2 linked regions of the Xenopus tropicalis genome follow. The protein of the gene in region 1 purifies or fractionates together with the protein of each later gene. This does not show direct contact. Links are inferred from orthologs where the notes say so. Each region holds a gene or a part of one and is shown on either strand. Other genes may lie near its edges.

Evidence for each region.
Region 2: the proteins of acvr2b (region 1) and inhba purify together in Homo sapiens (affinity purification with western blotting; 3 studies listed by BioGRID and IntAct, with this or other methods). This does not show direct contact. The link is inferred for Xenopus tropicalis from reciprocal best matches to the Homo sapiens genes ACVR2B and INHBA.

What each region holds. Positions count from the first base shown.
Region 1 is NC_030682.2:13,800,995-13,804,826, reverse strand, and holds part of acvr2b (activin receptor type-2B precursor), read left to right. Parts: intron 1-9; coding exon 10-153; intron 154-244; coding exon 245-393; intron 394-3,832. UniProt on the Homo sapiens protein: Transmembrane serine/threonine kinase activin type-2 receptor forming an activin receptor complex with activin type-1 serine/threonine kinase receptors (ACVR1, ACVR1B or ACVR1c).
Region 2 is NC_030682.2:57,864,620-57,868,451, reverse strand, and holds part of inhba (inhibin beta A chain), read right to left. Parts: intron 1,332-3,832; coding exon 484-1,331; 3' UTR 1-483. UniProt on the Homo sapiens protein: Inhibins/activins are involved in regulating a number of diverse functions such as hypothalamic and pituitary hormone secretion, gonadal hormone secretion, germ cell development and maturation, erythroid differentiation, insulin secretion, nerve cell survival, embryonic axial development or bone growth, depending on their subunit composition.

The sequences.
Region 1 (3,832 bases):
TTTTTATAGGATAAGCAGTCGTGGCAATGTGAGAAAGAGATCTTCAACACGGTGGGCATGAAACACGAGAACCTCTTGGAGTTCATTGCCGCGGAGAAGAGGGGGAGCAACCTGGAGATGGAGCTGTGGCTCATCACTGCGTTCCATGATAAGGCAGGTTTTCTACTGGAGCCTGGCATTTTAACCTCAGAGTGAATTATCCCTCTAATGTAGCTGCTTTCTCTTCTCTTTCTGTGTAATGCAGGGTTCTCTGACAGACTACCTGAAAGGGAACTTAGTCACCTGGAATGAACTGTGTCACATAACAGAGACGATGGCTCGTGGGCTGGCCTACTTGCACGAAGATGTGCCCCGGTGTAAAGGGGAAGGGCACAAACCTGCAATCGCTCACAGGTAAGTCTGACTCTGACAGCCAGATATCCAACTCATGTATTATAAGGGATAATGTACCCCCTACTGTAAATGATAAGGATATTAGCAGTCACTGAGGGGTTCTGTGCCCATATAAAGGCACAAGGCTGCAGGCTGAGTTATACAGGGAACTCTGAGTATCACTCATGTATTATAAGGGATACTGTACCCCCTACTGTAAATGATAAGGATATTAGCAGTCACTGAGGGGTTCTGTGCCCATATAAAGGTACAAGGCTGCAGGCTGAGTTATACAGGGAACTCTGAGTATCACTCATGTATTATAAGGGATAATATACCCCCTACTGTAAATGATAAGGATATTAGCAGTCACTGAGGGGTTCTGTGCCCATATAAAGGCACAAGGCTGCAGGCTGAGTTATACAGGGAACTCTGAGTATCACTCATGTATTATAAGGGATAATGTACCCCCTACTGTAAATGATAAGGATATTAGCAGTCACTGAGGGGTTCTGTGCCCATATAAAAGCACAAGGCTGCAGGCTGAGTTATACAGGGAACTCTGAGTATCACTCATGTATTATAAGGGATAATATACCCCCTACTGTAAATGATAAGGATATTAGCAGTCACTGAGGGGTTCTGTGCCCATATAAAGGCACAAGGCTGCAGGCTGAGTTATACAGGGAACTCTGAGTATCACTCATGTATTATAAGGGATAATGTACCCCCTACTGTAAATGATAAGGATATTAGCAGTCACTGAGGGGTTCTGTGCCCATATAAAGGCACAAGGCTGCAGGCTGAGTTATACAGGGAACTCTGAGTATCACTCATGTATTATAAGGGATAATATACCCCCTACTGTAAATGATAAGGATATTAGCAGTCACTGAGGGGTTCTTTGCCCATATAAAGGAGGGCAGAAATGGTGAATGCTTATTTATGGTTATTAACAATTAGCCTGTTATGCATGACATTTATCTGTTTTAGTTACATTCCTACACATGCCATCTGTTAGGGCCCCTCTACAGGGATTGGCTGGACAGTTCACTGCAGGGATTGGCTGGTATTTAATATTCCAGGTTCCCTATTATCCTCCAGAACAAAATATAGTCGCTGCTTCCCGTAATGGCCGCCAAGTGCGACAGGAGTTAGACTCGAGCCGGGAAAGTGATTTTCTGAGGGCTCTCCAATCAGCAGTCGCGTGACATTAGGCCCTTCATCCATCGCTCAGCCGTGCATGTAGCCCTTACAATCATCAGCCCAAATATATCTGATTCCCCTGAAATCACTTTTTTCTTCTAATAATATATATGCTTTAAAGGACCACTATTAACTCAGAATTTCCCTGCAGAATGTTGATTACTGCTAAAGAATAAGTTTGCTGGCGTAAGTAGGAATAGTATCTGTCTGAACAAAGTATGAGAAAACCTACGGAATTGTACTTTCTATAGACAGCGCTATATTGCAGCCATGTTTGGCTAACCACACCCCCGTGACATTGTGTCATGCCGTGTTAGCTGCTAGACCACACCCCTTTAGCTTCTCTAATTTAACAGGGATGGGGACACCTTCATGAATGTAAGGGAGAGAGAAAGTGACAGTAACTGTCCATTGAGCTCTTATTTCCTTGAGACAGATCCATAAAATGAAGGTTTAGTGTTGCCTTTAGCTATTGCCCGTCTGTGTAAGCAGACATTGCCCTTACGCAACTTACAGCTACTGTTCCTGCCTATTTGTATATGAGTGGGGGCTGCCATGATTGCTCTGAAGAAGGAAAATTGCCCATAGACTCTATCAAAGCAGCGCCCTCTGTTGGTCAAACTTTATAGAAAAATAAAATGGTGGAATAATTATTCCACCATTTTATTTTTTGATAAAGTTTGACCAACAAAGCTTAGTACAGGGGAATCCCTATGTGCCGTAGTTTTATGGTATCTCTCTGTACAGGCTATGAGCAAACTTAGGGGGCTGTTCCTGCTGAATTGTGCTTAGTACAGGGGAATCCCTATGTGCCATAGTTTTATGGTATCTCTCTGTACAGGCTATGAGCAAACTTAGGGGGCTGTTCCTGCTGAATTGTGCTTAGTACAGGGGAATCCCTATGTGCCGTAGTTTTATGGTATCTCTCTGTACAGGCTATGAGCAAACTTAGGGGGCTGTTCCTGCTGAATTGTGCTTAGTACTGGGGAATCCCTATGTGCCATAGTTTTATGGTATCTCTCTGTACAGGCTATGAGCAAACTTAGGGGGCTGTTCCTGCTGAATTGTGCTTAGTACAGGGGAATCCCTATGCTGCCATAGTTTTATGGTATCTCTCTGTACAGGCTATGAGCAAACTTAGGGGGCTGTTCCTGCTGAATTGTGCTTAGTACAGGGGAATCCCTATGTGCCATAGTTTTATGGTATCTCTCTGTACAGGCTATGAGCAAACTTAGGGGGCTGTTCCTGCTGAATTGTGCTTAGTACAGGGGAATCCCTATGTTGGCATAGTTTTATGGTATCTCTCTGTACAGGCTATGAGCAAACTTAGGGGGCTGTTCCTGCTGAATTGTGCTTAGTACAGGGGAATCCCTATGCTGCCATAGTTTTATGGTATCTCTCTGTACAGGCTATGAGCAAACTTAGGGGGCTGTTCCTGCTGAATTGTGCTTAGTACAGGGGAATCCCTATGTGCCATAGTTTTATGGTATCTCTCTGTACAGGCTATGAGCAAACTTAGGGGGCTGTTCCTGCTGAATTGTGCTTAGTACAGGGGAATCCCTATGTTGGCATAGTTTTATGGTATCTCTCTGTACAGGCTATGAGCAAACTTAGGGGGCTGTTCCTGCTGAATTGTGCTTAGTACAGGGGAATCCCTATGCTGCCGTAGTTTTATGGTATCTCTCTGTACAGGCTATGAGCAAACTTAGGGGGCTGTTCCTGCTGAATTGTGCTTAGTATAGGGGATCTCCCTTTACAGGATATGAGCCCATTTAAAGGAATATCTGTACAGGCTTAACTGACTGTTAAGCCCAATTGCCTACTGGTTCTGTTGGTGGAATTATAAACACAACAGGATCCCTGTGAGAGATGACAATGAGTATATATCCTGACGGCATTAACTGAAGGCATTTTGGCTGATTCTTTGGAGAAACAAAGCAAATGGAACATACAGTAAATATAGGTTTAGATTTGATTATTTCTATTAGGCAAACCCATATGGGGAAAATTTCAAAGCAAAGGTTTACTGGCCCTTTAAAAAAAAAAAAAAGGAGTAGATATAAATATTTCAGGTCAGAATTACTTGTTTTTGGTGTAACTATACCTTTAAGGCGGGAGTCTGTAAATATCTTAATTATGATTCCTTTGTGCCGTCCCTGCCAGGTACAGCTGATCAGTGCCCTTTAATGCTGTGCGGTTTGTATTCTGTTTAAATGAGATTTCCTTTCCTTATCAATGAACGGTCCTGATGGGA
Region 2 (3,832 bases), about 44 Mb from region 1:
TCAGCACCGTAGTGAAATTTAACTTTGTAATTTTTTTTCTGCATTTTTGTCTACTTTTGCAAGGATAGTGCAGAGGAAGAAGGTGAGATCACCTGCGCAATGTATTTACTCTTCTGAAACTATGAACTGCTGACTGACAACATGGCATCAAACATGACTCTCTGGATATCTATACAGTGTACCTATTTATACACATTTGTATACCTGCCTGTATACTAACTGAAGTACCCAAGAGATACACAAACATTGTATAAATAGCTATATATTTGTTCTTGTGCTTTTATTTAAAATAAAATCCACAGTTGCGCTTAAAAAAGTGGTGTCCACGTTTGGATAAAAATTGCTGCAGGCTGGTAACTATGAATCAAGTTCACCCCCCAAACCCAGATAACTCTGACTTTTGATCTTTGTCCGTTTGCACTTCTCTTGATTAGTGTATTTTGATTGCAATGCTGACAATGACAGTGCTCTATTTTCTTTACTTTACGAGCAGCCACATTCCTCCACAATCATATTCTGAATATCCTTTTTAATTATATTCTGACCGTCATCATAGTACAACATGGACATAGCTCTAAGCTTAGAGGGCACACAGCAGGATTTGATGCTGGTGAAGGGGCTCTGGCCCCTCAGTCTGTACTGGTTTATAACTGTGGAGTGAAAAGACAAGGAAGAGCCAGTAGTTCCAGCAAAATGGCTAGGGCAGTCTCCCTCACAATAATTGGCATGGTAGCCAGGAGGTGCTATGATCCAATCATTCCAACCAATATCTTTGAAGCTGACATAGAAATGCTTCTTGCAACAAATGCTAACTTTGCCATCACACTCTAAGCCACGTTTTTTTCTTCTGTGCGGATGCTCATCTGTCTGCCGGGCAACAATCATTAGGAAAGGCCTATGAGATTGCTCCTTTTCTTCCTCAACACCAGATGCTCCTGCTTCTTTGTCTTCATCATCCTTTTTCTTACGTTTTCCAAGCAAGACAGGTGTAGCCCCTGCCTCCTGGCATTGATCACATGCTACTCTGATATCTATGGTTGATTTGCCATGATTAAGTAAACGCTGGATGCTGCCAGCTATTGGAAATGTATGCCATCCACTTTTCCTTGTATCCACTACTTTTTCTGCAATAAGCAGTTCACTTTTGTTGTTCTCAGATCCACGTTGGTCTTTCTGACCTCTTTGCAGGTGGTACAACCGTATAGTCAGTTTGGCGCGACTTCGATTCGCCTTGGACAATTTTAGGAAGAGCCAAAGGTCCGCTTCTCCAATAATTAAAAAGTTACTACCTTCTTTGGAAATTTCAAAGCGCAGTATTTTCTTGGATGGTCCTGAATGTTGACAGAGAAGGTAAACAAAAAAAAAATGTTAGCCAAGGAGCTTAAGAGTTTTGCTTTACATTTAGAAATTACTTTTTGAAGACATGCAACTTACTCTATCAACCCGGAATCATTTTACATAAATATACATATATTTTCTTGTTTTCCTTGGTAATAACTAGAGCCTGTCCTTTTGTCTGTAGAAGGCTGTTTGCATTACAAGCAATATTCTTAATTTATTGAAGACTATTTTATATAACTGTTAAATGAAAATGTCTCTGCAATTCAAGAATGGAAAGATGTATGTTTATTTCTTTTCCTTAGTTAGACAACTATAACTATAATTAAGACAAAGAATCAACACAGTGTTCCGAAATGAAGTGCAGAGACCAGCAGCAATTCTATATGCGAGGATGGCAGTGTGAAAGTGCAAAAACAAGTGCATTGCCTCTATTCCTCTATTCTTTGCCTGCTGCCTTTCTTTTCAAAGTAAATGACCCCTATAATTGTATTCAGTGATAGTTGTCTTTGTGGAACTATACACAATGTTTTTATCCAAATATGGAGCAGAAATCACTCTGCTATGTGCTTAAAGGTTTTACAACTTGGGTCCGTGCTTTACCCCACCATCCAATCATGAAATATATTAAAAGATTTGACTGAAGAGCATTGGTAGAATTCTTTGATGCTTATATAACTATCGTTGAACCTTTCTTTTGCTGTTAACTAAATGAGTGGGAACGGGTTTCATTTGCACTGTAAACAGAAGGATGCTCTGCAGTGTGTATAAATGGCATTACAAAAGGATTTCATAATAAGATTCCAAGATCATCATATTGTTCTGTATAAGAGGAAAACATGAATACAAAGGAAATTTTGGAAACTGACACCTCTAGATATACTGTAGCAAGTACTAATATATATATATATATATATATATATATATATATATATATGTTTATAAAATATATATATGTACCCATTTATTTGATAGGAACACACGGAAAGCTTTTTTGGAGACTGTAATTTCATAATATGGTAATCTTATTTTTATCTTTATTGTTTAGTTGTATGTTGTAGATATGTAGACTGTATTTTGTATAACACATGAACAGATGCTGTTTACAGCACAGCACTACTACATGGTTTGGCCATAAATTATGTTGCAACATCTAAATGCAAAATGTGTTGGTTTATTGTCATGGATACTTGGATACACTAATTGGCACAGAGCTCTACAAGATATGGTAGTTATGTACAAGTTGGCAAATCTTTTGCATTGCACTAGGTTGTCATAAAGATTTATTTTATTGTCATAATGTGCTACAAGTGCAAAAAGATGTATGCTGAATAGAACATATGATCACTGTTGATGCCAGGGGAAATCCAGTTCGCTGCATATATCTCTTTATTAGATTGCATATATGAATCTTTATATAGCATTTAAAAATTTGGCACTTGGTATAGAGAAAGTAAAGCAGCTCAGTAAACATGTTGTTTAGCTGCTTTGTGTGCTGTTAGCTTAGATATAAATGGATTGTTTTGTCAGGTATACACCAATTCAAGTGCATTGGTCTGTCTATCCTTATCCTTTTTATATATTGACTTATAGCTTTAGAAATGTAGGCAGAATGTTAAGCTATACGCTGTTAATGCTAAAGCTAACCACAGAGGGTGATAGCTGCCCAATGTATTCATTTTTTAAGGAACTGTTCAGTCACTTTATGTATGGGGCCACTAACTCATTGGTGTATGTTGGGGTTATTTAGTCAACAGGAGTTGATGGCAAGAACACATTGGTCATCTACATTTGTGGTCTATGTGTACACCAACCAGATCTACAGGATATAAATTATAGTTACATGTGTAATCAGATATAGGGGTATGTTGTATGATCAAGTCCTTATGTAAGATCTAATTCATTGTTCACACATTCCACCCTGCAGTTCTTCATATGTGTTATTATATTTCTTCTCCAACCAAACACATTTTAATGAAGAATAAAGGGCATATATAAGTTATTTGTCATTGTATCACTTTTCAACCAAATATTTGAGGATACATGTATTGTAATGGGCAAAGCACAAAAAAAATCATGTTCTTAACCACAATGTAACATTTCTAGAATCACTGTGGCTCCCACAAACCAAAGCAACATTTTGTACCAGATACAGTAATTCACTGTAGTTACCCCCTGATACATAATGGGTGTTAGGAACAGGCCTACATGATACCTGAGCTGCACTTTTCCCCTAATGCACAATAAAAGCTAAACCAGTAGGGCTATTCTAAACCTATTTTAGCTTCATATGCTGCACCTAAAAATTGTAAATGATCCGTTCTATGTTTTAATTATGTTTGGCAGTTAATCGATGATCTAATTGCCTGTAAAATACATCATAATTAGTGGTGAGCGAAATCTTTCGGCAGGCATGGATTCGCGGTGACTTTCCGCATTTCGCCTTGGTGGATTTTTTCCAAAATGGGCACAAAAAATCCCTGTGGAAAAATTC